Struthio camelus: one gene and its partner. The protein of the gene in region 1 purifies or fractionates together with the protein of each later gene. This does not show direct contact. Links are inferred from orthologs where the notes say so. Each region holds a gene or a part of one and is shown on either strand. Other genes may lie near its edges. The genes, in order: LPIN2 and FBXW11.

Evidence for each region.
Region 2: the proteins of LPIN2 (region 1) and FBXW11 purify together in Homo sapiens (affinity purification with mass spectrometry; 4 studies listed by BioGRID and IntAct, with this or other methods). This does not show direct contact. The link is inferred for Struthio camelus from reciprocal best matches to the Homo sapiens genes LPIN2 and FBXW11.

The regions. Positions count from the first base shown.
Region 1 is NC_090943.1:118,916,952-118,932,706, forward strand, and holds the start of LPIN2 (phosphatidate phosphatase LPIN2), read left to right. Parts: upstream 1-9,212; 5' UTR 9,213-9,550; coding exon 9,551-9,637; intron 9,638-15,755. UniProt on the Homo sapiens protein: Acts as a magnesium-dependent phosphatidate phosphatase enzyme which catalyzes the conversion of phosphatidic acid to diacylglycerol during triglyceride, phosphatidylcholine and phosphatidylethanolamine biosynthesis in the endoplasmic reticulum membrane.
Region 2 is NC_090954.1:20,654,953-20,670,683, forward strand, and holds the start of FBXW11 (F-box/WD repeat-containing protein 11), read right to left. Parts: upstream 8,121-15,731; 5' UTR 8,087-8,120; coding exon 8,042-8,086; intron 1,462-8,041; exon of another isoform or gene 1,331-1,461; intron 1-1,330.

The DNA of each region.
Region 1 (15,755 bases):
AGCGGGGCCGGGCAGCGCCGGTGGATAGAGCCCTGCCCGCAGCCCCGGCCGGGCGCGGAGGCTGCCTGCCGCCTGGCACGCAGGAGCCGGGGCTGCTCTCGGCGCTTTGCTGGTGTGTGGGTCTGGAGGGCAGGGGGGAAACAGTCCTGCCTTCTCCTCGCCGCCAGATGCGTTAGACGGGAATGGCGCGGGGGGGGCGGGAGGACTCTGCCCGCCCGGCTGGCGAGGGCCGGGTGACCTCTGGAAGCGCCTTCCAGCCCTGCGGTGACAGGAGGGCGGTGTGCCGTTTTGAAGCCTCGATTTTATTGGCTCTGCTTAGCGTGGCAACTCTCGATTTTGAAAATCGTGATACGTGCCTTGCTGCTCTGGCTCCTTCCATTTTACGGATATGAATTTCTTAAGTTGCTTCTGTTAACTTAGCTGCAGGGCATTCTTGGTTTTAGGCTTGGGTTTTTTTTTTCTGTTTATCTGCCCTAGTAGAGGGAGCATGAAGTGTTAATCACTCAAAGTACACTGCCTGCATTCTTTGTGTATGCATTTGAGTTTTTGCCAAGTGCCCGTCTAGGTTATTTTGTGTGAACTGCATTTTTCCCCTCGTTAAGTGGTTACTGAATACATGTTGGAGGCATCAGTAACAGCTAGGCAGTATGCTGTTTAAACATGTGCGTTTTCATCCAACAAAATGACGTAATGAATTTACCTCTCCTTTGCCTGCATTTCATGTTTCCTCACAGATGCAGTTGGGCTAGTTGTACAAAACGTGATCTACGCACTGCCTGACTTCTGCAAACAAAAATTCATTGCTGTTATGAGAGTGCATTTATTAACCATGTCCCATAATGAGTACTATTTTAGGATCCTTTCTGAGGGGAAGAAGATAATAGACAATCCTACAAAACTCAGTAATTTTTAAAAACTTTATAATAGTATTTCTCAGGTCAGTTTTGAATATTGTGTTTTTAATGTTTGCAAAATAGCCTGGAAGAGATAAAATGTGTTTTTATACGCATTTTAAGAATGTACAGGTGCTCATTAGTCAAAATGAAAAATCAGAAGCCCCCATATGCTTTCACTTTGTATTACGGAAAGCGTGGGCATGGCAATCACTAGAGCCGAGGTTCATTCTGATGTTACTCTGTATATATACATATGTAATCACAGTTTCTATTTGCACTATGAAGAATATAAATGGATGTAAACAATTTCCCCACTTCCTACCAAAAAAAAAAAAAAGCAAAGAACAACCCTTTAGGTGGAGTAAAGGGATGATCTGTGAGATGCTCTTTAAAAACGTATTGCTGTTGTAATGTACTGTTGTTGTACAGTAGAATATTAGAACTGCTGTTTCTAGATGAGCATGGTCACTCAGAATGTCAGGGAGTTTGAGAGAAATGCTGCATTATCTGCTGTTCTTCACTGAACAGTGCTGAAAGGCTGTAGTAAGCAATTGCAGCATGAATTGTTAAGCTTATAGCATAGCTCTTTGGTTAAACATATCAAAATACTTTTATTTTTCAGTGGCTCCCAATACAGGTGGTGTATGAACTTAGGTCTTTCTTATTCATAGCACTTAATGTTTCAGATTGTTGCAAAGTTAAGTTCTTTGTTTTCATGAACTAGAAAAAAGTACATTTGAAACATTCTGGTATCACAGTGTAGAGAACTTCTTGTCCTCACTCTCTACTTCCAGCATTTTTTTTTTTTATTCCTGTGAAGTCTTGATCAAGTATGGCAAAGTATAAACTGCACTTGTTGCGCTTGACATCCCCTTATTTATCTTAAGGGCTAGAAACACCAGGCAGTGGACCTTCTTTGCATTACGTGATTTTTGACTCTTGTCTCTGTCCCAGAGAACTTGCAATCTAATTAGAGCAGGTAAAGTTACTGGCAGCAGAAATAAGTATTTTGTTCAAAGCTTCGTGGGAAACCTTTGTCAAAGCGAGAGGTTAAGTTAGCTGAATATCTTCCTCTTTTCCTGAAAGATTTTCTCATGGTTAATACTCCAGATCGGAATTTTCTTCTTTTTCCATCTTTTAAGTTTTAAGCGCAGAATCAAAACGTGGGGAAAATGGAGAGACAGCTCTTGAAGGTCTCTGTGTGTGATCATAGAATATCTGTGCTAAATTAGAACATTTATATATTTTTTTTTATTTTTTTGGCAAAATAGCTTTGGCTTATATAAAAATAATTTTTAATCATTGTTTATATCATGAATTGCAAATACATTATGCATAACAGTCTGAAGGGCATAAAAGAACAGCTTCTGGTGTTGGATTCAGTACCCCATATTAAAGGGCGTCTACATTGAAAAGCTGTTGAATTTATACAAAATAGTGGGTGATATGTTTATGATCAGATGCTAGTCTAAACCATATGTGTTAGATGTGTTCATCCAGTATTGGGCAAATTCTCAGAATATATTCATTCTCAGAATATATTCATACTCAAAAGTGCTGCATGTAACATACTATATCCCAATGATTCTTACATCTAGCAGCGCTAGTCAGGAGTACTTACTCTATGCAACTTTGATCTCATTAAAGTTGTATTTTAAGATTTTACAACAATACAAAGATCACCTCTGTAAATATCTCAGTTAAGCAGGTATCAGAGAATTAAGAAATTGTAACTAGAATTATGCCATTCCAGCATAGTAAAAATGTATCTGCCATTGCAAAGATTGTTTCATTTAAAAATGAGTTTTTATTTTGCCTTGCTATCCTCTCATCTGGGTTGTTACAGACATTCTTATACTTAGTAACATCAGTGCTTACATTTCTGCTTATGTATCCAGACTGTTTTGATCTGAAAGGGTCATGTCAAGTCAGAATAGCTCAGTCTTTGGGGACTGAGCTCAAGTACCCTTCTTGGGGCGGGAGGATGGAGGTTGATGAATATTTCTTTTAAAAAAATCTTAAAGGGAAGCACAGAAATTTAATATTTTCTTGTGTTTGTACCTCAAGGGAATTTTGAAGTAAGCTTCTCCTTCCTGGTAAAGTATTTTATTGTTATCAGTTTTTCAGCTTTGCAGTAATGTTACCTGCAGTAACTACCAGAAGTTGTCTTGAGTCATTTAGTGCTTTTTCCAAAACTAACGGAGACCTCCTTATTGCTGCCATCTGTACTTAGTGCAGGGATAAGAATTTTAACTAAGAAATTAATCCCTTTCTTTATTCAACATTCTTAAGTTCAAGACCAGAGATTTAAAATATTGTAAGTAATAATAGAAAAGTCTCCAGTGCATCATGTTAGTCTGGGTGGCTGAAGTCGAAGAATCACAGAATCACAGAATGGTTTAGGTTGGAAGGGACCTCTGGAGATCATCTAGTCCAATCCCCCTGCTCAAGCAGCGTCCTCTAGAGCATATTTCCCCGGATCACATCCAGACGGGTTTTGAATATCCCCAGTGAAGGAGACTCCACTGCCTCTCTGGGCAACCTGTTCCAATGCTCTGTCACCCTCCCAGTGAAGAAATTTTTTCTCAGGTTTAGGTGGAACTTCCTGTGGTTCAGTTTCTGCCCATTGCCTCTTGTCCTGTTGCTGGGTCCCAAGTCAGCACGTGCTAAGCCAATTGTAGGCTGTGTCTTTAGACTTACCAGTCTTTTTAGACTGCATAACTGTCTTCACAGGAAATGTACTTGTCCTGGGTTGACCGTTATCAAAGGCCTTTTGAAGGAAATATGCAAAGAGTCACTTACCAAGGTTCTTGCAAAGAAATGCTTCAAATAATGAAGTCATAACTGAGATTCCATTATAAATGGAATACATACTCTCTCACTTAACTAATGATAGAATTTAGTTTGATATACTAACTGAAGCATAGTGATTTTAAAAAAATATCTGAGTGGTGCCTTAATGCCTTTCATTCTCTCTGTAAAAAATATGCATGTTAGCAGACATAAGGAATCGGCTTTACAGATTTGTAGTGACCTGTTATGGATGATACAGACATGTTACCATATGCTAAGGGTGAGGAGACATATCTTTCAGAGAGACATGACCTTTATGTTCATTAAAACTTGATCAGTAATACAAATAGCTTTCCCCTTGTGAATGAGGAAGCATATGCTGCTTTGCTCAGCTGTATCTAATTTACCCCATTCCAGTATCTCAATGCTATCAACACGTTTGTGTAGGAATTCTGAAAGCCTAGCATTTTTGCCTCATTTTCTAATAAAATAGCAGTCTTATACGCAGATTAAATTTGTGAATTTTTTTTTCTATTTGGTACATATGCAGCAATTCAAATAATAATGAGAGTCTATCAAATAAAAAAGGTTTCTTATTTATATGCACTATATTAAAATTAGGGATTTAGAGCTTCTTGGGTATGCCTTATATGTGTTTCTCAGAATAAGTATATTCCTGGAGAGTGTCTTGTCAACCTGAAGATATGTCCTAGTCTCATATCATTATTGTATTCATATGTCCGTGCTGAAGGTAATCACATTATTCACTGCTAAGTATTCAGGATGTTTTCCATGCTTAAATATGCATAGATGTGTTCTTTTCCCTTTTTATTTTTTTTCAAATGCTGGGAGATTGGAAGAAAATATAGATAGACCTGAAGTGCATGGCAAGAAACTTGCTTAGTGCTTTTTAGAAACATACAAGTAAAGCTTCATCTGCTTCTTCCAGCTCATGTAAAAATGAGACAGATGGAGTTTATATTTGGAAACTTTGGTTTCTGCTATATATTTCTGGAAGAAAGTTCAACCAAGGATGATGTAGCTGTAGAAGAGTCTGTTCTACTGGAAATAACTATCTGTCAAGCTATGCCAGAAGACTTCTGTGGGATATGCCCATGTAGGTTCTGAAGGAGTGCAGTCTTAATGTAGCCAGTTCTTCTCAGTAACTTGGAGGATGTTAAGGATTACAAGCACATAAAATCTTTATGTGTGCATGTAACTTCAGGGTTTTTTTTTTGTGTGTGTGTACGTGGTTGAACTGATCATTTTTATCAATAAAATCATTGTTTTGACCCTTACCAAAGTATTGTTTCTTCTCACTGCAGTTTTTTAATAAACAAAAAAGTAACTTAAAAGGACTGAAGAAAAGTCTCATGTTAAAACAAGCAAAGGTGTGCTAATACTGAAATCGGAGGATTCAGAGCAGATCATACAGATGTATCTGGTGAAACATTACAAAAGCAAAAAGCCCATGTAAACTGTGCATTTCTTTTCTTGCTGTTGCGTTTTTTCTTACTGATCTAAAAATATTTCCATTGAATTGAAAAATACTCTTAGCTGAATGCTTCTTGATTTTATTGGATGGAAGATCCTGCAGAGATTGAATTTACCATCTAGCTTTGCAGATGGAAAACTAGAAATTTGATTTTTTTTCTATTTTAATCAGCTACTTTAGAGGGCAGTGCATTGCTTTTGTATCAGTAGTGTTTCTCTAATATCTGTTAGCATGGTATAAGAATCCAAGCAGTTATAATTACTTGCGATAGGGTTTTTTCTTTATTTTTGTATCTGTTTTTTTAAAAGCTGGGAATGATGATGGAAGCAGGTAACACTGCCTATTCATTTTGTTCAGCATTTTTGAGTAGAACTTGATTTTTAGTTGCATGTAACTTTGCTAATGGAAAAATTCATCCCATATAATTATATATTGGACATCTTCAGGCTTTATAAGGAGAATTTTAGCAAATATATACTTTTTTTTTTTTATAAGAGGTGAAACTCGATGGTATGTGTCCTCTATACTAGACGAAAAACTCTAGCTATTTTCTCTTAGAAAAGTCCTGGTATCCCCCTCCATAGAGATCTGAGACAGATGGTCTTTATTCAGGATGTCTTCTGTTATTCATGTGTAAATTTATTTGAATTCAGCAAAGCGATTAGCCTTTGAAACAGGCGTAAAAGCCCATGATGGGTATGGATAGACCTTTGCAGTTAACTGCAACAAAGATGTTGCATTGAATGTGTTTTATCCCCAGATGGACAGACCAGAGATTTATTTCCAGTTTCAGTAGGCAGATGCTTCAGGTCAGGGCTAACATCAAGAACTTGGATGCAAGAATTTATTTGCTTTCATGCACTAGTCCTGTCTGTCTCTAAACAAAGTTGTAAAGTGCCTGATTCTTCTTTATATATTTTGAAAATCAGACTATGACTGAAAACAAAGAAGTGTGATGGATATAGGGTTCAAAGTTGGGGTTTGGGGAGAAAAGTCCTTTTCCAGTGACGGTATGAGGTATGGGACTGAACTGGGGTGCTTTAGAGTTAGTTGATACGGAAAGGAAAAGGTTTTGGAGTAGGATGGAGTGAAGAAGACAAATGGGATATAGAGCCTGTCAAAGTAACTAGGATCTTCTGAGCAAGGAAGCCTGACGTTGAGGGGTAGAATGAGAGAGGGAGCCAAGGGTAAAGAGTAGACACAATATCCTCAAGCTTGATGAATGAGTACAATGGAACAGATAGTATGTGTACTCGCTCCCCTGTCTGTAATGAATCTTGGGATCCTGAGATTCTCACTTGCTCCTTTTGCTAGCAGAAATCAGGTATTTGCTGAATGTCTCTGGCTGGTGTGGAGAATAACAGCCTATGCCAGTTGTCCGTTTTAACTCAGATGATAGGGGTCGTTGTGGTACATCCAAAGATTCAAGGCCTCTTGAAGATGTAGGTAGTATCGAAGTAATCATCCTCTCTCTTGAGAAAATTCCTAGGCTTCAAAGAAGGGGGGAAAAAAACCACCACTTTGTTAAAGCATTCATTTGGACAATAGTTTAGTGAAAAGTGGGATGGAGGATGTCCTATGCTTGTTTATGTATTTTGATTTATTAATTATAGAAAGATAGATTTATCTCATTCATAGCAAATTTACCCCAATCTGTGAGTGAATTGCGATTGTGTACGGATAGAAGCTGATATCTGTAGGGTTCCTGCTTCCTACTTAGAAGGAGGTACAGAGATGAAAGCTGGGGAAAGACATCCTGTAGCCGTGTTCTGGCCACAGTTCTTCTGCAGTTCCTATACAGTACAATCAAATCACTTAAATGAAATTTTCACAGGCAATTTTATATATCTTTGGAGGTAATGGTCAACTGCGGTATGTAAATCTGATTTGCAGCTAAAAGGAAGCCTATGGAAGCAATATTTTGAATATATAACAAGGTATAGAATGCAAGGAAGCTGTGGAAGGTCATGTTTTAACTGTGCTAAAATAAAATAGGTATTTTTAATTCTTGGCCAGAGTTCTCCACTGGGTAGGAAAAAAAAAATAGTGCCACGTTTCTCTGGGATGCTGTAAAAAGAAATGAATGCACTCCAGTATATTTTGAAGGTTACCATAGAAAAATACCATTTAAAAATGAAATCATACTTTGTATCAGGGTTTTTGACTAACGTGCAATGAGATAAGGTGTGTATCCCCACAGAGAGCAGTCAAGAGAACATAGGATGTTAACTGATCTCTGTCAGCAGTGTCCCCTTTCATCTGGGGCTAAACCACAGTAAATTCTGCCTGTACCAAAAAGCTGAACTAAGGTTGCGTGGAAAATGTTACTTCTAATACTTTCTAAATTTGCAGTATTTACTTTTGAAAACTGAAGCTAATTTTCCTGTTTAACTTGTAAATTAATAGTGTAGCACTTAAAATGTAATCCCCCCCCCGATTAAGTTTGTTTTTATTTAGCTTATTAATATTGAGAAATAAAAGCCAAGGAGGTTTATTAAGTGTGCAAAACTTATTACCTGTCTAAATCTTATCTTACTGCTGGTGCTGAGAAATTAATGCTGTTATTGCAGTTTTACTTGTATTCCGGAAAGACTGTCTTTGAAAGCATTTTTAGAAACTTTGAAGAAATTAATGCCAATCTGAAATACTGAATAATTTTAAAATATAGTAGGTATGACAGAAAATTGTACATGAAAAATAAAAGGTAAGTCAAAGTGTTTGAAAAGAATCAGTATCTTACAAAGCTGGTTTTCACTCTGCTCATAAACTTCCCTTCTTCCCGTATTTTAATGGAACACGTGATATAGTCAAGAATGGTGAACAAGCAGAGGAAAATTGAGTGTTATAGTTATTCTTAATATCTTATGAGCGTACATCACATCTTTGCTAATGAAACCAGTAACTTTTCCTGCAAAGAGCCACATTAAATGTAAAGTTGTTCAATACGTAAGGAAAGCTCCCAGTAGCAGCAGCAGTTTATTGTAATCTTACTGCATATGTAGCAAACCCAACACTCTGTTTAGGAGTCTGTCACCAAAATTGATTTAGTTTTGGTCTTGGGTATAGTCCTTGTATTATTTTAGAAATCTAGAAGCCATTTAGTTGCATCCAATAAGTGATTCATTGTCCCTGCAGCAGAGTTTAAAGTATCTGTTAACAAAACTTCTTAGAGAAGGTTAGAGTGAAGGGGTCAGCAGAATCCTAGACAGGCTATTTTCATTTCTAATTCAAGAAGTAGACCTCCACAGTCTTCTATAGCAGATCCGAAATAGCACAGGTGTTAGTGGGGAAGATGCATGTGTTTAATGGAAGAACTGTGAAAGAATGCGTCTGCGTTGAGGAAATACAGTATTTCCTCAGCGAATGATTCTCAGTGGATATGTCTCCCGTTCCTAGATTTCAGTGGTAGAACTATTTCTTTATAATACTGTGCTTCCTCAATTATTTCACAGCCATGGTATTATTTAGAAAAGTAATGCTCTTTTAAAATTCCTCAGATTAAAAATGAATTTTTATTCTCAGTCATGGAGCTGGGTATACAATAAACCTGTGTGCATTGTCTGCACACCCAAATTATACTACATTAACAATTTGAGTTAAGTAGGAAAACTTCCACGGAAAAAAATGATTATTTTGATGTACCTTATTTTTGTGTGTTTTCAGTATGAACTTCGCACCAGAATAGTTATCACTTTCTCCTTTTAAAATAGCGTTGGAACAGTTTAAAAAAAAAAAAAGCCCCAATTTTCACAAATACCAAACCTTGAACAGTCCCAAACAGTCAGATTTGTCCCATGAAATTTGCAAAGCTAACTTAGTGAAACCATCAGCAGAGGCAGTAGGGAGCACAGAGTGGCAGCTGGCGTTCTTTAATTCTGTGTGCTGCTGAACAAGAACTTCCAATGTTGCTACAGGTGATGAAGTTGTAACAGTGGTGTGAAAAGTCTCCCAGTGAGCTAATGTAGACATGGCTTAAGAATCATTAACTAAATCCGGGGTAAGCTTCACCCAGAGTCATGTGACTTAGTGTATATCCAAGATCATTACCTATCAGTGCAGACATATGGTAAAGTCTGTCCATGTTATTACTTATCTTGGAGAGTGCAAGGGGGCTGTGACATTTCAAGCAAAGTCTATTGGTGAAGGAGTTTCTATGTGAGTTTTCTTAAAGAAGCACTTCCTTTTTAATCATAACCCTATGTGAGAAAGCATACCAAACATTTCTCTCTAAGAGACTACAGACCAGAAGATTTACCTAACTCTTCTGCTTCTATGAAAAGAGAAGAAATGCTGATACAACATTATGTTATGGCTGTAAGCTTTGCATTTACCTGTACTATGGAAAGTTAGTTTGCTGGGGTTTGAGATGCATTTCTCGGAGATGTATGATTTTGAAGATGACTTCAGTGGAGGTGTTTTTGCTGCCCATGAAAAGGTTCCTTCTGGAATCTTGGTGAGTTTGATGTATTTATTGTTAAGTATGGGTATATCATTCCCTATAACATAATTAAAATGTTTAACAATCTGCTGACTGTACTTAATACTACATGGAAAAACTTGAATTCAGTATTTAGCAGACTTGCTTGGTTTCCCGTTTTTGTTCTGTAAGTGCTGTGTGCAGTGCTAGGAGCAATCCTAAACCACAGTTAAAATCTTTACTTAAGAGCGAAGCTGTCTTTGTCTTGTGGGGCGGGGGGGCTGTTGCGTATGTTTGTTTTTACAAGTAGTCTTGGTGCTACAGTGGTCCTGTTTTATATGTTCATTTTTTTTCCTCCGGTAATTTTAGGCAACAAAACAAAGATTAGTAAAATGCTTAATATAAACTTTTCTCTGGTTAAGCAAAGCTCGTTCCTCATAAATACATACACATAGAAATATAGGCAAGAAAAGATAAATAGAGGAAAATCAAGGTTTGATTTTTGTTTTGCCTTTCTACCTGATCTCTTAAAACAAATGCAACTTCACTATTTACATCATGTGGTATTAGACTACCTTTTAATCCTCTAAATGCAACCCAAAATAAATTGGATATATTGATACTCTATTGTACGTTAAGTTCTATGTTTAAGTAACTTTTTCACAGAGACAGTGGAAATTCATACCCACTAAAAGTGTTTCTTTGTACAGTAAAAACATCTGATGGCTTGCCTATGAGTAATATGCACTACTCTTTTTTTAATGTTGTTGAGCCAGGCATTTGTAGTGATCAGTACGAGGCACTACAGTCAGTTATTGGAGACCGATTAAGTTAGAATGGTACACCTGTATCAAGCATGTTGGCTTTCAGAATGAAAAAAAGAAAACTGTTTACCTTTGTTAAAGCAGTGTTCCAAATGCACAGAAAATGCAAGTTTGTGGACGGTCTTTTGACTGTTGTGTGCCTGCACGTGGGTATTCCCAAAGGATGTAAAATAAATTATTCAAGAAAACACATTGGTTTTGTAGTAGCCAAAAGTAACTGTCTTTGCTTAATATTGTGTGGAGAAAATCCCTCTCCACAAAACCTTCATCTCAAGTTATACAAGCATGAGCATTTCCTGGTGACTGGTTTTGAAAATTTAATTTGGTATCTATTGTATAGAATACGTTAGATGCTCAATCTGAGCTGTAGTAGTGTTTAATCGTTGTTTCTGAGAGCTAGTCAGAAACTCATCTTACAGCATGAGAAGTCAACAAACATATGCAGAGTTAATTTTAGTTAGACTGATTTGAGTATTTTATAGATGGAGACACACAATTTTATTTTTTGCTTTTGAACTTCCAGAGTAAATATTTTCTTTCCGTAGTTTGTATTTACTTTTATATTCTCAAGAAAACAAAAGTTTCAGTTTCTATCTTTTGCTGCGTAATGGCTTCTTGCTAGAAAAAAATTTTTCTTCGTGATATAGGTTAGCGTCTTTCAGAGATGTCTTTTCCTCCTTCCCACTTACAGTTGCACTTATCTTAGTCATATTAGTATATTCATCTTGTAAACCAGGAAATATAGCTTAAACATTCAAAAATCAATCTCTGATGCCCCCAAAGTCACAAAAACTGTTTTTTTCTGCTTGGAGTTCTTAGCTATTGCTTGGTTTTTTGATTTGCTATCCAACAAGAATAAATAGTACTGAGCTAACTCAATTTTAGCTTTTACCCAGAGTTCTGGAATTTGACTGCATCAGGTAATGTGTATACTCTGGATATCAAAATAAATAAAATTTAAAAGCTAAATAGCATTGGCTTAACTTGTCTTTTCCATCAGACTTCTATCTTGAATTGCAGAACTGGAAATTGGCATGCTTTTTAGGTTCTTGTAGCAGGTTATGAAGGTAAATTGCTATCAGCTTCTCTCTGCTTTCAGAACAATGACATTTTTAACAATTTTTTTTTAAATCCTGAAATAACTAAGGGAGAATTTTCTAGGAAATTCTTTGCCTTGCCTCTTAATCTGCGATCTGAGTTATTTCTATCACCTTTGCAAGAATTAAACCAATGATATGTTATATTGTTGCTATTTTTAGTCAATTTCTGCACCACGCGCTTCAAGCTTTCCAACAATATGCAATAAAACTTAAAGCAAAACTCCAAAGTCTCCTAGCAGGGCTTCTCTTGACATTTCAGCTAAATGTAACATTTCATCTTTCTCAAGTTATGTATTGATGTTTTACTTGTAATTGAACATTTGCTTGCAACAATTTGGACCTTTCTAAGTAGCGAATGTTTTATCACACAAACTCAACAATTATGTTAAGAGTTGAACTTTTATTATAGTCATCGTCTTGCAGTTTTTATTGTTTTTGAATGGGAACATGTGTATCAATAAAGGTGGATAAAACCTTTTAAGTTCTGATGTAGCTTTTTTTTTTTTTTTCCTCCGTGGCTCTGCCTTTGCACGTAGTGATTTTCAATTATAACTGCTCTGTGGCTAGAATGTTGTTTTTCTGTAGGGCTAGAGAGCTGCTTATTTCTGGAAGATGCTTTGTAAGCATTATTTTGCACAAAGGATCTATCTAGGTGACTTTTGGATCACTTCCATCCCAACGCTACTAAAGTACCACCACTTCTGATGTATTCAGCATGTATTTGGTCCTTTTGTCCCCACACCTTTTTTCTGGTAGTGCCTTCACTACGGAAAAGTGGGAAATCTTTGTGATTCTGGTGATAATATCTAAATCCTTCTCTATAAATTAATAATACAACAAAAAGTAAAACTACAACCTGATAGGCAATAGTATAAATTAGTGTCCAATTTAGAATTTTATTTACTGACAGTGTACAAGACAATACTTTCTTGTAAAACTTAGGTTATAAAAAAGCTCCTTTCTTTATAACTCTCATTTTTAATACTTAACAGGTTCATATTTTTCATACAGAGAGGTTGTATTATTTATGTATGATCATAAAAGTGGTTTTGCTGTAGGTTAAACAAATGTAACTGAGATCTTTTAAAGAAATGACTTTCCTTACTGGAAAAGGAGTATGTGTATATATATACCAACTGAATGTTTTCGGTCCTGTGAATTTTTTGGGGTGGTTTGCTGTGGTCAGGCAAGGTCAGTTACCACATCTTTGAGGAAATGTAGAGTTTTTATCAACTGAACTCAGTTCTTAGCTGCTGTTATGTTGTTCCAATCCTTTAAATACTTGCTACTGAAATGATAGAAAATGTCTTGCTAATGTCCACTTTTCAAGTCCTGTTCACTGAAATGAAATATATAGAATAGAGTCTCTATTAAGAACTCCTGTTCCTAATTGTGCCAAACATTTCTTGTAGCAATTTCAGTCTCCTTGGCATCTTGAAATCAACTTATTTGGGTAAACCAATACAATAAGAGTCTCACTGGAAGTGGTCAAAGTGTAGCCATGAATCACAATAGACTGTGCATCAGAATTTTCCCCTTAACTTAAAATATGGTTTGGCTGTGGGCGTAGAGGAGAAATAATTGTTTAAACAGTAAAACAGAGATATTGCTGCTTTTCTGTCTCGGGTTACAGTTCCATATGATGCAGCAAATAATAGCTCACTTATCAAAAGGAAGATATTCTGTTCCTTGCTGCAGCCTTTTCTTCCAGCTCTCTGGTGCTGCAGCATGCCTCACAACTGTCTGGTGTTTGACACCACCTTGTCTGTGAGCTGATCTAATTTACTAACCTACTGAAAGAAAAACATGGGTAATCTTCTGTCAGCTGTGTCAGTGAGCTAAAATCAGCTCATTAAAAGGGTGTGATGAGGAAGGGATGAAGTGGGGCCTTCCCTTTTTGGCAAGAGTGAGCTATTATTTCAACTCAAAACATCTCTGCTAGCAAGCAGTCAGTTTTGTAGTTGTACATAAAACTGCTTAGAGATGAAACTGAATTTTATTACTTGCTAATCTATGTTGTTAGGGAGTCCATGCAGCTAATCTCATTAGTCACTCTCCGATAGCCTATTCTTTTTGCCTTCATCAACTATACTGTAGAAAAACTGCTGGAGAAAAACTCTCTAGCATGTTAACTAGCCTAGTAGTTCTGTGCATAATTTCAAAAGAGGTTTAAATCTGGATAGGCAAGCCCTCACCTTCCCTTTAAAACCTTGTAGAAAGGTAGGAACTTTTTTCAAAATATGTATGTGATTAGGTAACGTATGTTAGCCTTGAGAAGCCTGAGGTGGAGAAAAATACTTCTAGAGCTGGCTCAATCTCCTGCATATTTACAATTATATTGGCACCATCAGCTGCTACAAAAAGCCAAACTTCTGAATGACTGCAATACACCCTGTGCTACTGCAAGAAGACTTTGAAAGCTCAGAACTGAAAAAATTGTGTAATTACCTAGATGATGAAAACTGTATCAGGAGGAAGAACTCTTGCAGTGCAATACGCAGTAGTCTTTAGAACCACTAAGAAAAATCCTAATCACGGTCTTGAATTGAATTTGAAACCCTGTTCAGAGTCTAATAGAAATAAATGAGTATATAGACAAAGAAATTCACTGTAAGCTTATTTGTAGAAATATTATACTAAAATTAAATTTTTACAATTTAAGCCTATTTATATGTTTGGTGCTATGTGTTTTGCTTGTCTGCAGTGGCTCATTGTTCTTCCGAATAATGCCCTTAACTTCAGAGTCATGTAGGTGCTTGAATATATTTGAAATGAAGTTGTAGCAGTCTTTTGGCAGAAGGGTAGAATGAGGAAGAGCTGCACTTCCAGCCTCCCTGGGTACTTCCCATTAGAACACCTTCGTTGTTTTTTCTCAAAACATCTGAGCTTTAATAGAAAGAAGAGAAATCTTTGGGCTTCATTTCTTCTTGGCTGTCACGATTCACACTGTTCTTAGTCTGAAATGACTAAATTATTCAAAATGCCACTTAAGTATTGTAATGGCTTAGACAGAATATTTGATAAGTGGTTGTATGTGTTCTTCATCTTTGCATTTCTCTTTTCTGTCTAGTGTTTGACTATAGCATAATCTTTCTGTGTATCTTCCTTCTCTTGAATTCTCTACTATACTCTCCACTCTTGTCTAATATGGACTTCTTCATCTAGACTACCTGTTGTTCTTGTCAATTTTCCTGCTGTCAGAGAGTATGAACAGCAGCAGATATTGTAAAAATTTGTTCTCACTTGACTGAAACTTTGTGAAACCTGTGGAAAGTAGTTAGTGGATAAGATAACTCTTTATATTTAAAATAATGTATCGCATGAGTGAGTAAACTTGACTAGGACTTGCTTTTCGTATATGAAAATGTAGTATTTAAAACTTAGTGCTTATTTTTTGTATATAATTTCTGTAGAAATAGTGGTGGTTGCTAGCTACTAGGTCAATGTTTGCTTCTCATAGATGAGAAGAGTGTTCAGGACAAGGTCCTGATACTGCTAGATGTGCTATATTTTCTCTGAGCAAACTGTACTTCAACAGCTGCTTTAAATACACATATAAGCTTCTTGAAGCTGTATACATTGTAACTATACATGATAATTGTATAGTTACAATTGTAATTTTATTGTAATTTTACTTTAATCTAAAGCTAATGGAAGAGTCTCAGTAACTTTGATTATCTGGCATCTTCTACCACAGGTAGAAGTCTTATTCGTCTTAGTTTTAACTGCTGAAGATGGGTGGTAGTTCTTTACAAGAAGGCTTTGACAAGTTCATGATTTTATGTTGCAAGAAGTTTTTAGTACTTGTTTGTTGATGAAATACATTCAGTGGTGGTGTACTCTACTTGCATAAGGGAAGAAAAAAAGATTTATTCCATCTGTTTTTTTTCCCCCCACACTCACTCATTCTGCCCAGTCTTCTGGCAGCTTCTGTCTCCCATTAAATCTTTTGATAATTTATTTATGATGGTGCAGCAGTTTTTAAAATACAGATCTGTAAAGGAAGAGTTACATATAGAGGAATTCTACAGAAACGTTTCCTGATGCTTAGATTTTTTTCATTCTGATGTACAGGTACATCAGACCTCTAATTTCAGCAGAAGATCAGTTGTACTAAATAATAGGCAGTGTTCATAAAGTGAATTGGTCTTTTTAGCTTACATGAGGAATTAAGCATTACTTGAATCTAGGCCTATGGGATTTAAACAATACATACTTTAAGATTTACTT
Region 2 (15,731 bases), on another chromosome or scaffold:
CCCTTACTCTCTGATCAAGATGAAAAAGGACTTCACGCAGTGCTTTCAAAGTAACTTTAAAAGTAACACCTAAGAGAAGATGGAGCCTGCAGAAAGCTCATACTGTGCATCTAACAGAACTAGTTATGGAAGCATACCCTAAAGAGGCTAGACTGTGAGCCGTTAAAAAGTTTGACATTCAGCCTAAAAAATATCTTCCCCTAACAACAGCCAGAAACAGCATCATTCTCTCAAACATAACGCTGCAATATCCATAGAAGAATACGCTACCTCCTTCTCTCACACGCTCCCTTTCCTCACCAGCCTCTCCTGAAAATGAATCAAGCATTTCTTTAGCCTCCACAGCAGTGCCCCATGTATCAAAACGCAAGCAGCTTGGAGAAGGATGGAAGAAACTGCCACTATTCGCAGCTGGGCCAAGTAATTGTGTCGATGAGTACATACGTCCGTGACTGTCCAGAGCTACCTCAAGAAAGGAATATCTACGTTACGTGCTAATTTTCTGCTTATCAACGGTAAATTAATAGTCTATTACAGAACAACATTTCAAGGACAAAGCAGCACTTGAGTTCGATGATATGTCCAATCTATGGTTTATAAGGCTGCCAAGTAAAGCGGTAAGATGTTAAGGCATATGACTCAGAAGCATAAGACCACAATACAGCTCAGTAACAAGACCACTATCAAAGTTACATAAACGTACTGATTTGCTGAGTAACAACAGAGCCAGCGGGATGTCAGGAGATGCACTTCACCATGAAGGCATTCGTTAAAAGTTATTTGGTACTGTTACAACACAGATCTGATTTTTCTCTTGAGAAGTAGTGGAGTGATGGAGGCTACTTGAATATCAAGTTTCCCTGATTAGTCGTTTGCTGCCCAGATAGAATTTCTTAAAAGTATCTCTATCAAATACAAGGTGTAATTGTAAGTTAGTAATTTTTGCACCGGATAGATTCTGAAGATTTCTGAAGCTGTAAATGTTTTTGTTTGAAGACTTTAAATCAGCAGGACTTAAAAGGCTAAAAGCTTTGAACAAAGCGTCATCAGGCGAGCCATCTTGACATCAAACGTGCGCCTCAAGAAGAGACAAATAGAAGTTGTCGCAACTTATTTTGCACCAGAATTCAATATGCAAGAATTCTTCAACAAAGCTAAACTCAAAACAGCCACATAGTTTGTAAGACTGAATATATAATTGTCTTTCTTCTCTAAATCACTGAATCAACAAAATTTTAAAACTATGCCACAGCTAAAAATTGACCCCCACAGCTGTTACCATTTTACACAGAAAGCGCATTGGTCTCTATTCCTAGCAACAGGTGCCTACCTGTGTCTTACGATTTACATCTCTATTTGCACAAAATGCACCCGGGAAGCTGGACTACTCTTTGAGCCCCAGTGAAAACTTCAGTATCTCAGGGTAGGTAGAAGAACAGGGATGCAACTTCCTGAGGGGCCCTAGAGTAACAGAGCAGGGAAGAAACAATAAGCCTTCAAACGCTCCCATTGTTAATTTAGCCTTGCATTAGAAGCAAATTAAGTTTCCAAAAAGAGTCAGTGTTCTTTGTTAGTAAAACACAAAAGGCACTGGGTTACTTTTGCAATATCTGATCTTCGTCACGCACTACTCGTACTGGGAAGCGTGTGGAAAGTAGTACAGGAAAATGGAGTAGACTGTCAAACGTCACACCGTTGAGACCGAAATATACCTTTGAACTAAGGAAGGAAGGGATTTTCCAGAAAAAGGGGATTTTCCTTGAACAATGAAGTGCTATCAATACCACGAAAATCGAACTGAAAAAAAATCAGATTATATAACAACAGTGGCATTGAGCTTAAGAAAACATCACCGAAGAAAAAAGCTGGAATGTAAGTGTGTTATTAATCAGCATTAGTTTAAATCATTCCATAAATATTGCCATTTCTCTTCAATTTATTTTCTCCTTTATAAAATAAATATAAGACTTGCCACAGAGCAGCACTCTTATAACCATCGTCTCTTATTCTCTCCCACACATCATTCTTCTCGTTGGCACATTTGCTGCAACATCCATTTCATTTCGAACCCATAAAGCTTGCACTACTGCACAAGCACTCAAAGCAGCAGAGCAAGATCTAAGATGAAACTGAAAATGCCAAAGCAACAATGACCTCTACACTCTACAGCAATAAAATGTAACGCATCAAAAGACATACATCAAGTTGATTTGACAAGCAGTGAAGGTGTTTTAGAAAACACACGTGAAATGAAAAGGTACATCCATCCTTCAAATAACATTCCCCGGTCTCTCTAAGGGTACAGCTTATTATAAGTCAGGTTAGTTTACTCTGATAAGGTGCTGGTGCAATGCTTATCAGTGACCCAAATTTTCAGCAACATTCAACAGCTCTGCTTAAGGGATAAACAATCAGCATGGTCTGAAATGCAGAAATGGCATATGCATATGTAAAATGCATATTTTACAACTTTTTAAAGGAGCAACCCAGTAGCATTTTAGAGAGGTCAGCTGGTGTGCATACCAGTGTGCCTGCAGAGATGTGATTTCATTCCACACTGACACCTGTACACTCGATTTACAAACTTAATTCAGGACCTTACAGTCCCAAACCAGAGTTCACAGGCAACATATTGCCCTGAAAACTATCCAGCAGTGCTCACAAACTCAGGAAGTTAATGTGTATCTTTCCGGGAACAAGATGACTTTGCTGTATCTTACTTGCTCAGCATCGTTGCAAAGGCTGGAAAAAATAATAATTTGAGAAAACTTAACTGAACTGTGAGGCAAAAAAAATCTCAGTATCTCAAACAAGATTTAAAAAGCCTTGGGTGAAACACCAATCTTTCATCTCCCGGAGAAACCATAAGTTTCCTACATTAAGCAACTAAAAGCAATTTGGTTTCAGAATTTTCCCTCCAAATGGAACGTCTGCAGTTTTCTTTCATCTGTATAAACTGAAGGCTGCTGCCATAATAATCACAAGTCAGCATTTGAGATCATTTTTAATTTGTAACCTCTGTTCTACATCTTTGTATTCTCCATGTCCCTTCTCAGTCCCATTTTCTCACTCATGCTCTTTCTATTATTTCATCTAACCCTTCCCCAAAAGACAGCTTTCCGCAATTCTTTGTCCACTTCCCTCATTTTATCATCATTCTGCTGGCTCAGAACCGAGTTGTCTAGTTGAATTCGTTTTCTTAAGGTCTTCCTTCCCGTTTTCTGCACCGCTGCCAAAGTCATGGCAATCCATTCTCTTTATATCCTCATCCTTCCTCTTACAGGCGCTCTTTGAAACGTGACTGTCAACCTGACAGTCCCTGTCGCTGCGCAGATCTTGCATCCCGTGCCCCACAGGCTCTCCCGTACCTTCCAAACGGACAATCTAACCCTCACCTCTTTACAGACCCACTCTAGTCATTTCGCCTTTTTCCCTTTTGCATGAAACTATCCAGCATCCTAATGGCTGCACATTTACACATCTGACATGCAGCTCTCAGCTCTGCCACTTTAGCAGCTGAAGGTTAGAAAAGATAACTGCAAAACCAATAGTTTGCTATCCTGCTGCGAGAAAGCACAACTAGCTAACATACAGGTTTCCAAACATCTTGCTAGTTTTCCATCTACTCTCGGGCTCTAAGAACTATTGACAAAACACAGTCATATTTAAGCTAGAATAGTACCTCCCTTGTTTCAGATGCCAATATGATCATTGTTTAAGTCCATCTGTATCTCTATAACTAGAAAAGTAAACTCTTTGAAGGATTACTCTAAGAACATTTGGGGAAAAAAAGTAGCTGCCTGCTTGGTTAGCAACGACTGAGACAGAGAAGAAAAAAGTCAAAATGTTTTAGCGCTACTGAGATATATACAGCAGTTATAGTCTTAGTTTCTAAGCAGAACACTAAGACTTATTTTGCACTATAACGCTTTAAATAGTTTGGGGACAAAACAATCTTCACTTGCAGTAACCCAAGGAACTTCAGGTACTACTGGCACGATTTACTGAAGAAGTTGCTGCTCGTAAGGCATTTATATGTGGAACACTTTATTCTGAGATTGTTACCTTTTGAATCTGAAGACCCTCAGCTCACACCAAAGTTCTACCAAGAGAAGCAAAGAATTCTGGTAAGATACTCAGTTACAGTTCTTTGTTTATTGTTTACAAAGGGGCACTGCAACACTTGACACTTTCACAAGGGACAGGTGTTCTAGAGAGTAAATGTAATATGTTAGGAAGAATGTTTTCCATGTGTGTGTGTGTGTGTGTAAAAAAACTTTAAAATATAAGTTACAATACCACATCAACAAGCGCTTGTCAGTTTTATTCCGAGGCATGGTCTTCCCATAACCCTTTCATGCTACTACCACTGAGCAGTATTATATTCAATTCAAACTGCCAGCTCTGCAGCACAGGGATCTATGTTTGTAGAACAGCATGCACATCAAGGACACAGCAGAAAGACAGATGATAATAAGCTCAGTAAATGAGAATATTAACACACACTTGGCTTCCTGCTTCAGTAACCATGTCCGTTAATAGGTGTCTGGTGGGCACAAGAGTCTGAGAGCAAAAGACTTGTTTTTATACTATCCGTATCTCATGCTGCACAGTTCATCCCATAAACACGTACCTTTTTATCCTGTTTGTAAGAACTACATTTTCCTTACTTACGTATTCATTCACAACCACATTAGCACAAACTAAGATGCTAATAGTCCCCTACTTTAAAAGCCTGCTGGTAAAACAAATGTACGGTTCAGTGAATCTTTCTAATAGTGAAAAACACAAGGTTTTTACCAAGCATTCAAGACAAATATGAATAATGGGTTGGATGCAACTGAATATTATAGATTTACTCCACAATCCAGAATTTGTAGGTAAAAAACAAAACAAAACATTTTTCGCAAATCATTTTTGTTGGTGCTTCACCTTAAAAAAAAAAAAAGTTTGATTCTTTAAAAGAGTAAAAAGGTTGCAGTTACCCAATTTCACAAAGAAAATCCAAATCAGGGAAAGAAACAGCCTTTTCAATCATTTCAGCTGGTCCTCCATCTGTTCTGGATTACTTCATTACTACTAGCTTTCTAATAATTTGTCCACTCATACAAAGCATTTAACCAAAACTATGTAAGTACTAAGATATCTAAACTAATGACAATCCTGTCGGAGAAACTGTTAGTGTAAACATATACCTCCTGCAGTCAACATGCACGTTAAACTTCTAGGCCTCGCACTTCCTGAAATCACTTTTACAGGCAAAGGGTATCTTGCCTATAGAGATAGAAATCATCAGCAAATGAAAGCCATGAAGTGTCATAACTAGATCAATTGCTCATCACCAAAGATTAAAACCCTGACAACATTAAAAAGGCTAGATGACATGACTTACAAAACCAGAAGATATCCAAAATCTTAAGCTGTCCTAAAAGACACAGCGACTTCAGAGCACAAGCTGAAACTTCATACGGCAAATGAAAGTTGCCACTTTGAAACCTTAAAATATTTCACTCAGATTCCAGCTAAAAATAGAACAGTTTTATTTCCATCACTGATTCTTCTTTAAATAAATGCAAGTGATCTATCCAGTTAAGGAACAGCTCACAGCCAGAAGATCACGTTCTGAAACTCTTGTGTAATTAACATGTTGACACATTATCTCTTGTTTATCAGTAACTGAGAATTGTATTCTATTTGCTCCTCAGAACTTTTGCATCATTCATTTGCACCTGTATATGCTAGATATTCATCCTTGGCATTGGGAGGAAGTGATCGAGTACCAAAAGTGCATAAAATACAATCTCCTGTATCAAAGAGGCATAAAAACATCCTGCTTTTAGTAAACAAACACTTGTACCTTCTTTCTTGCAAAAGGATTCTTAAACACAACAGCACTCAAGTCTTGCCTGTTAAGCTCATCCCTGGTTTAGGGAGATTTGTCACTATCATTAACAACTGATATCACAGTTTGTATACGATATTGAAATCACTCTATCGATACTACTTCGCTTTCTGCTTTGTTTATTTAAACAAATCTTCCAGAAAATCTCATCTTCTACAACACGTAAGAGTGCAAAACCTTCTCGGGTCACGTCTTCATTTATGAAGTTCAGTGGAACATTTAAAATAAACTCAAGCGTTTCTATGCAAGCCTTCACTAAGAAGAAAATTAAATTCAACTACTAGCTACATTTTTACTGAGTATCATTTCCTACGGGAAAATTACAAAATTCATTATTCATCCTATGAAAATTTTATATTTATGAATTTATCATGAGAGAGGTAAAAATGTTTCTTAAACCTCCTTCTATAGAACACACACCATCTTAGTAACTCCAGTATTTGTCTTTATGTTAACACATTCTCCAGGATTAGCTGTAAACAGAGGGTACAGTTATCAGTAGTCAAAAGTTATATTTGCTTCTGTTTGTTAGCAATATGGTCAGAAATAGAACGGACTTCTAAAATCGGAGAGTGGTTACAAAAAGACAAGCAAGAAAGTTGTAGGAGGCAAACGTACCCTCCAGCCTTCAAATTCTATTTTAGCACCTCCTATAACCCACGGCCGAAGAGCATTAGTAACCCTCCATTACAGGAAGGAAAAAAGCCACTAGAACTCACTTTACACAATTAAAAATGTTACAGACATCTTTTCTGTAAATGACTTGTTCTGTAACAGACACCTTCACAGATATCACCAGTCATTATTCTTAATGCTGCAGTCCGCTAATATGTGAACAGTTCTGATGTCACCAACATTTAGTGCAAGATCATTAAATCAATAGGGATCAAGAAAGCAGGTTCATTAAGAGCAGCTTTTAACCTAGAACTCTCAGTGATCGGAAACAAACATGAAAGGACTATCTTTTTTTTTTTTTTTAAATCTTTTTTATTATTACTATTTTTGCTTCTTGATAGAACATAACCTTCCAAGAAAGTTCAAGTTTTTCAGATAAGGTAGTTCAGCAAAAACTATACTGACTGAAAAGCCCATCTCACGTCTTGCCTGAACTCAGCACACCTTCGGAGTGCCTTAAAAGCAATACGAGAATTTTACCGTCCAGTTCTGCAGTACTGCATGGAATTGCGTATGTAATAGTAAATTATGCTTATGACAAATAAACCAGCAGAAGATGTTTTTGTGATTATCCTTACTAGTTTCCAAACTTAATTCTCTTCTTCCTTGAAGACAGCTAACTACACTCTCCTTTAATATTTGGCTAGAAATATAAATTCTCCCTACGTTTAAAAAAAAAAAAAAAAAGCTTCCTCATTCTTCCGCTTCCAGTTGGCCACCTCTCCACTAACCTGAATTTAGCGGCATAAACGCTAATTACAGGCTATAACAAACACACCAATTAGGTTTAGTTAGATAATACTGCGTTTGCTGCATTGAGCCTTTCGTGAAAGCTCCGCTACCGGAGCTGCTGCTGGAAAACATACGTTCGCCCAGCGCAGGCTCACTCCGCTGTCCCCCAAACAGCCGCCTAAGCAAGAACGCCTGCTGAAGAGCCTAAAACCTTCCGGCTGGAAGTTTTATTTTAAAAAATAAAGGCGGGGGGGGGGGGGGGGAAGCAGCAGCAGCAGGGCCGCGGCAGCCGCCCGCGCCCTGCACCCTCGCCGGCAGGACGGGCCGGGCCGGGCCGGGCGCCGCAGGGCCGCGCAGCCCGGGCAGCGGCAGCGGGCGCACCGGCGCCGCCGCGGCGCTTCCGCTCCAGCGTGGGGAGCGCGGCCGCGTCTCCCCCCGGCACCGGCCTCCGTTTTATTTTTAATTTTGGTTTTTTTTATTCTTTTCTCTTTTTTTCCGCCTCTCTCCGTGGAAGTGCCCTGGGGCAGCGGGCTGCAGCGGCCGGGGCCGCCGCCGGCGGGGCGGGCAGGGCTGGGGCGGCGCGGCCGCGCCGTGTCACCTCCGCGGCGCGGGGGGGAGGGGGAGGGGGGACCCGGGCCCGGCGGCGGAGCCCGCGGGGCGCCGCCGGGCCGGGCCGGGCCGGGCCTGCGGCGGGGCGGGGGCGGCGCGGCGCGGGGCCGGGGGGGCACTCACCATCAGCTCGATGGTCTTGTCCTCGATCACCGAGTCGGGCTCCATAGCGGCGGGCAGCTCCGCCGAGGCGCCGCCTCCCTCCCCCCCCCGCGCCCCGCCAGGCCCCGCCGCGGGCCGCCGCCGCCGCTGCCGCTCGCGCCGTCCGGCCCTCCCCCTACCCGACGCACGCACGCACGCACGCACCGCTACGGCGCCCGTAGCGTCACGGCGCCCGGAAGTGGAAAGGCGCTGCCCGCCGCAGCCCCCCCTTATCACGGCCGCGCCGGGAGAACTACAACTCCCAGCGGCCCCCGCGGCGCCGCCGCGGCTGCAGGGCACGCCGGGAACTGCCCCTCTCCGCCGGCGGCGGCCGCCGGGCCGGGCCCGCAGGCCGCGGTGGGGCTGCCGCCGGCGAGCGGCGCCGGGGGCCTCGTCCGGGGGGACCTCGGCGACGGCCCGGCCCGGCCCGCAGCGCGCCTCAGCCCTGAGCCTGGCCCGGCCCGCGGCTGCGCGCTCGGGCGGCCGAGGAGCGCCAGGCCCAGGCCTGGCACAGCGTTGCGCAGTGCCCCGGCGTCGCGTTCGCGTCTGGATAACTATTAGTAGTAACGTTTCCGCAAAGGCGGCCGTCTCGTTGGGTAACTGTTACAAGCCCTTACGTGACTTGAGGGTTTCCCCTCCCTGCTAGCGCTGGGTAATAGCCGCTTAGTCCGCGCTGACAGCTGGAAAAAAATCAGAAGCGGTTCGAGCATGTAGCAGTACCGTGAGAAATAGTTATATAAGAGACCACCTCTCTTTCCCGGGTGTAACAGGTAAGGAGGCGTTGCTTGCCACAGCAAGAGTCGTCAGCGTGCTCTAAATCAAGCCTGTAGCGAGTTTCAGGGTACTTGTGTTTGAACCTAAGGTTGGGGAAGGAGCCTTCCTTTGCTTAAAATGCTGTTGGTGCTCAAGTATTGTTTTTACGTTTTCCCCCATAAAAACAACAAATTTGCAGAACGTTATCTGTGGGATGTTTTACAGAACCTCTGAGACAGGAAACTGTGTGCATTTTTTCCAGTAGCGTTAGGAAATGAAACTAGAAGCCTTGAAAAACATCAGCTCCTGAAGACAAAATCTGCTTAACTGAGAAGGTGTGATGCTATAGAGAGTCACGTGTCAATCTTGCAACGCTATTTAGTAAGTCCGTCTCGTCGTGCACCTCAGGGCTTGCACTGCTGGCGACTCTCAGTCAGGCAATAGCGTCAGAGCTTTTACGAGTGGAGGACCTAGTGCTGTTTTTATTGCCACTTCAGCTTCTCAGTGGCTATCTCTGTGCAGTATGAAGATCAAAGCAGTCATGGATATACTTAAATGGTATTATTTACTGAATGCTGATGGACAGCCTGCACTGCGTTGGAAAAACAAACAGACAGCCCTCTTGCCATTAGAAAACTCGCAGTCTAGGTTAGATGTAGGCAGAAAGGGCTGAATGCACAAGTTTGAAGAGAAGAAGCACACATGCCCCGTATTTGTAAGGAAACATGGAAACGCTTGGATAAGGTGGTCGCACGTGCATTTCCGTCTAACTAATTGCAGCCTGCGCTCTTAGCAACGAGCTGCTTTTTCAGCAGCCAAACCTCTAGGGTCTGTCTCCTGTTCGCAGGCTGTCTGCTTGCAGACATCCTCTGTGGACGCTGGCACAGCGAGGTGGGCTGGCAGATGCAGCCTGGGCTGCAGGGGGGCAGCCAGAGTGGCGGTGAGGCTCGGGACGGGAACAGCGACAATGAGATCTCAGGTGCTTTGGGTTGCCAAGGTCACACAGGCTGCAAACTGATGACGCATCAGCGACCGAATGCATTTGTAGGCATTGAAAACTAGAGGCAAAAATGTCATAAGCAGCAATCTGGTATAACAGCATAGCACTAGTACTATACACCTGGGATGAAAATAGACTCAGCAGCTTTCATCCCAAGCTTTTCCCTCCACCCCAGCCGAGGTGCCTGCTTAACCACTTCAAAATTTAATTAAGAGATGGAGCATGAACATTGAAATGGCACAAGGTCCTTCCCTACTGAAATGCATCCTGCTTGACAGTACATTGGTGTCAACAGAAATGTATTTTATTCATAAAAATGTTAGAAGCATACTAATGAGGTCGTCACTCCTTTCACAGAATTGAAAAATGTAATTCAAGACCAGTAGATCTCCCTCGCCCTAAACAACTGCCACTGCTCAATATCTTGGGGAGGAAAGTGAAAATTTGATATGCCCTAGAAGCTGCGACATTTACGTTCTAGACCAAGTGAATGCCAAACTTGCAGCCGTCACTGGACACTGGCCCAAAAGTCCCTCCAATTGATACTGCAAAGCCCCAGCTCGTGCACCATCGCTCATGTCAGCTTAAGCAGCGTAAGCACCCGCTAACCCTTATCCAGACATGCTCCTTTTCCACGTGAAAAAGGTATGAGGGCTTTCTCCATCAAACCTGGAAGCTCAGACTGACAGCTGAGCTGAATTCTTTCCACTTTTACATCACTACCTATAACTAAGGACTTGCAGGTCAAATTATACTCGCAGTGTTGCGTGTTATATAACTCCATTGACCTCTGCAAGTTTATAAAGGTGTCACTGAGAATCTGCTTCCAACGCACATGGTGGAACAAAATCCAGCTTGCTTTTTGCGTGCGTGGTCTCTCGCACTCACTCGCGCGCTCGCTCTCTCTCTCTCTCTCTCTCTCTCTCTCTCTCTCTCTCTCTTAATTTGTTCACTCTGGGGAGCAAACAAGCCAACAGATATTTGTTTGTGCCACCAAAGTAAAAAATCAGCATGTCTAGTCCTAAATATACACAGGGCACAGATTTGCTGAGCAAGACGATGCCATTTTACATAGCCATTTTCCAAAGTTCAGCTGTACATTCAGGCTAGTTTCCTGAACGTGAACAATTACAGTATTGTCCAAGTCATATGAAAAGAAACAAACAGAAGAGGCAAAAATTGCTCCGTTTATTTGAAGCAAAAGTAAGCTTTAGTCTAATACTGACAATCTGCATGTGAGTGTGGTTAGTGCATTACCACAGCAAACACTACAGAAATATGGACAGTTCTTTGAAACTGTGGCATAAGATGTCAGTTGGAACTTGAGTAAAGAACTACATTTTTTTAGTCATACTGACAGAAAAAAAACAATTGCTATAATATACAAGAAAACTGTGAAGAATGTTGAAAAATAATTAAGGGAAGCATTAAACAGCTAGAAAAGCAAGACCAGATGATACAGTGTTCTGCAAACTAAAGCCAGATTGTTTCTGAGCAACTTGTGATTATTAACAGGAGCCGGTCCAGACTGAAAAACTTGTCCAAGGGACTGTGTAATAAGATGGATGAAGAACCAGATTTTTGATAAATTTAGTCTGAGATACAAAAAGATTCTATTGAAACACTTGCTTATGATAAAGTCAAAGTGCTTTGTTTCTAATAATATATTAATTCTGTCACTACAATAATCTGAGGAACATGCCTGCATGCATGTGTGCTCTAAATTCTGGTTCACATGACACCCTATCAATACATCCTCAGTATATGTGTAACTCGCTATTTGCTGACAGATCTGTGTCACGGATCTGCAGATCAGCAAACCAGCAGCAAAGCTAGTCATTAAACTTTAATGATGACCTTATTCAGGTGGAAGCACAACACGGTGGTGGGTTAGTTTCAGCCTAAGAGAACCAGTTCTGCCAGTTTTTCAGCGAGGATGGGGAAGTGGAAGTGGGAAAGCCCCAGCCCCAGAGCGAGGCAACCAAAGGTACCTTCACGTCGTGCAACAGGACAAGACGTTTTGGACAGGACTGAGAGTCAGCAGAGCGTGCTTTTACATTTGGAAGATCCTGTTTAACTCCGGTATCAGCTAAGGTTGAAGGAAGGTGATTTGGAGGAGGAAGAAAGGTTTCCTCCCTCATTAGGGACGTCATTAACTCAAGGGAGAGGTGTCTAGACTTCTCGGGGGACTGTGCTGCAGGCTCATTCCCTCTCCCCAGAGTGCTAAGACAAAGCAAAGAAATAAGCATATACATCTTATATGTGTTAATTAAGGTAGGTGTAATCCTAAAGATATCTAAGCAAAGGTCACCATGCGTTAAAAACCCAGGAAACCTTAGCGAGCACGCCAAGTGCCAAGGCCTTTCTGCCTGGGAGCCGCAGACGGGTGTACCTGAGCAGCTGCGAATTGCAGGGAGCAGCGCTGCCCCGAAAGCCCTGGGCGCCTGAGCCACCGCGCGTCCCGTCGAGGCGGGGGACAGGCTGCCTGGCCCCGGCCCGGCCCCACGTTGCAGCGTTTCAGCTGGGCTGAAACAACACGCTGCGACCTCTTTTAAGCCCATGATTTTTTTACAGCAGCTCAGACGTTCACTCCGTTACATACTGATTCGCTCTACCCGCGGCTGCCTCGCCGCCGAGCCCCGGCCGGCCGCGCTCGCGCGAGGTGTTTTCTCACCGGTCGGCCCCGGCCTCTCCTCGCGCACCGCCAGACCGGGTCGCGCTGCCGCGGGCCGACATCACACGGGCGGGCGCCCTGGTTTTAACATGCCCTCTTGTGCCAGGAGCCCCACGATGGCCCAGAGGCCCTGCCGAGCGCCTGAGCGCTGGAGCAAGAGGCCGGCTAGCGCTTGCGTGCTGAGAAGCAGAGCTCTCTGGGAGAGGGGAAACAAATTTTAGGAGCTAGAGTAGAGAAACATAGCTAGAACGTGACCCAGTTGTTCAGTCTCCAAATCTTCTCTAATGTGATTTACTTCCAAGCCTGTCTCAGTTTTCTGCAAGGTCTCGTTCTTTGGCCACCAGTAGCCCCGTCGCAGGGTAATCATCCTTTCCGCTTTGCCCGTCTTTCACGGCTCCCACTTGATTATAAACACGCACAGCGCCATGATAAAAGGCAGAAGGTCTAACACAGGTGCCTCCCAGACAGGTTTCCCGGGACCCGAAGGGAAGGAAGGAGGGACCTGCCGGTGCCGAGCTGCCCCCGGTCACGCTGCAGCCACTGGAAGGACGCAGCAAGGCTGCAGGCAGGTTTGCCTCACACCAGGGAGGAGATGAAAAAAAAGTAAGAAACATGGTGGCAAAAATACTAACTCTGGGATTTTCTATGGAGCCGCTCGGCGCTAAATGCTCACATGAAATTCGGTGGGTGTAGCTTTCCTAAACTTGGGATTGCCTGCTTGAAACCCCCAGCCTAACATATTCTACTCACTAAAACCTCGGTCTCGTGATCTTGTGACTGTTTATTTGGCCGCTCGGATAGGGATCAGAGATCACTCAATGGCCAGGAACAAGTCACAGTGCAGGAGAGCAAGGGCAGATGCATTTCAAATGCTCCTGTTGGAAAAATAATTACTTAACGTACAGCTGGAAAGAGCAGGTTAGAAACAAGCGCTCTTGTTAGGGCAGGGACGAAAGTACGCCTGAAATATGAAAACGTTTATTCCTACTTCAAAGAAACACTTGGTATCCAAACAGCGATGGCACCAGGTTTGATGATTTCTTAAAGAAGCGGGAAAACCATGAACGGATTTCTGACTCTTCTTACACGTGCCGCAGAGCAGAGGCTGCGGGGAGAGCCGCCGCGCCTCTCGACGCGCAAAGCAGCTGCCTTCCTCCAAGGGGCAGTTCATAGCGCAGAGGCAGGGATGCATCCGGCCCGGGGACGGGGCACAGAGGACTATTCGTGAGCAACGAGGGAAAAAACAAATCGGCGCGAAGCCCCGAAACCCTTTGGGCGAAGGAGGAGGGCCCGGCGCGCGGGGGCTCGGGCCGCTCTCCGCCAGGGCGGCAGGGACGCGGGGCGCCCCGGCTCCCCGCGCGTCGGGTCCCTTGGCGTGTTTCGGCTACTTAAGAAGTTAAAACGTATTTTCGTCTTGTTCTGGATGGAGAGAACGAAAACCACGAACAGGAGAGAAAACATCACAGGTTTGAGCGCCCAGACGGCGGGTGCTGGGCGCCGGCACGCGAGGTCTCACCGACGTTTCAGGTGCGGCCTGCCCCCAGGTAGGTTCGCCCTCCCCTCGCCCGGTCTGCCGGCCTCCCTTTTGCTCTCGCGTCACCGTTTGAAAACAGAACTAAACCTTCTTCGCTCAAAACCAGCCTGATGGTATCGATAGCAGGAGAGGTTATAACGTAGCCCCGGGGCACGGTAACGATGCCGTTGCCATTAGCTGACCCAAGGCCTAAGGACGTGGCTTGGCTTCGGCTTGTTTTACCTTGGTTTTTACTGTAACAGCGTCGTGTCCAGTGGCCAAATGACCATTGTCTGAGTCGTCCTAGCTGGCTCGTCGCAAAGCTGGCTCACGTCGCCTGAGTGACCTCTAACTTCTTGCTTTTAGCTTTGGTTTAGCTTTGTGCAGTTGGGCGGCCGTTACCCTGAAGAATCAGATCGTATAGGGCGAAGGTCTAGCAAAACTAAGTCGCCGTAAGATGACCGCGTTTGCAATTGCCAATCAGCGAGAAAGAAGAGGGGGCCGCCGGGAAGGCGGGCGGCTGGCAGAGGGTCTGCGTGCGACAGGGCTGTATTTTGAGTAGACTGTTGAAACATTGGTTGAACTGGCAAGAAATTTTTGCCTCTGCGTCTTAAGACGCGTCTCCTGTTTATCCTCGATAAAGGTTGAAACCTAAGTGCAAGGCAGCAGCTCCTGCGTCTGAAAGCCTTTGCTCTCCATCCCATACCCTGAGAAGTGCCATTTCTGGTGGCCTGCCACTAGTAAGACCACCAATAACCGATCGGGAGAAGGCGCTAAAGACAGGACGGGACTTGCATCGCGCCGCCGCGTCCTTCGGGCCAGCCTCCCACCGAAGCGGAGCAGCGCGAGGCTCTGAGCAGCTCAGAGCTTCCCGGCTAACGGGAACGCGAGAACAAAAGCGATTCCCACGCAAGGTCTTTATTCGTAGCACCAGGGCAGCGTTGGATTAAACCACCTATTGGTTTTGTCAGTGAAAGAAAAAGCCCCAGCCCCTTTGTGGGCCTTAATCTGAATCTATTTTCAGGGTGGTTTTTTTTCCCCCACTTGTTAAAGCCCTGCAGGCTTTGCAAAGGATTACTGCTCTGGCGCTCCTCTCGCACCCCTGCAGCCCGAGCTCCAGTCCAGCGGACTCGCTGTCCGTCCCGGGTGACACAACCTGGGCTAAACGCAGCCTTTTTCGAACCCCCGCCGAGCAAAACAAGGGCAAAGCAGTGGAAGGCCAGCACCCCTCCCGTTAGGGCCGGAAACCAAGAGAATCAGATTTTTCTCAGATGAAGGACGAGGAAAGGATCGGCACTTCTTTCCGAGGCTTGGCTGTACTTTTACGTGCTTATAGCAGCTCTTTGGCTTGCGCTGGAGCTCGTATCCTGGCGTGGAGGTGGGCGCTGGACAGTGCAAAAGGGCAGGAGAATAATTTGCGCTTCACTTGAATTACCTAGCGACGTAGCCTCAGCTGTAAAGGCTCGCGTACTCGCAGCGAAGGAGCTCGCCCCGGGGCCGCCGCGGGCCCGCTGTCAGCTGGCCGGTGGCCGGCCTGCCCGCTCGCCTACCTTGCACCTCGCTCCCTTTAAAGCTAGTAAGCCGCTAGTTTTACAGCGCGCACGAGCGCAGGAAACGGGCGGAGGTAGGGCCAGCGCCGGGGGACCCGTCCTTCCCACCAGCGCGTCCTCCCATGAGCCGCGGCTGGCGCTGGAGCAGCGCGGAGACGGAGCAGAGTGCTCCCGGCGCCCCG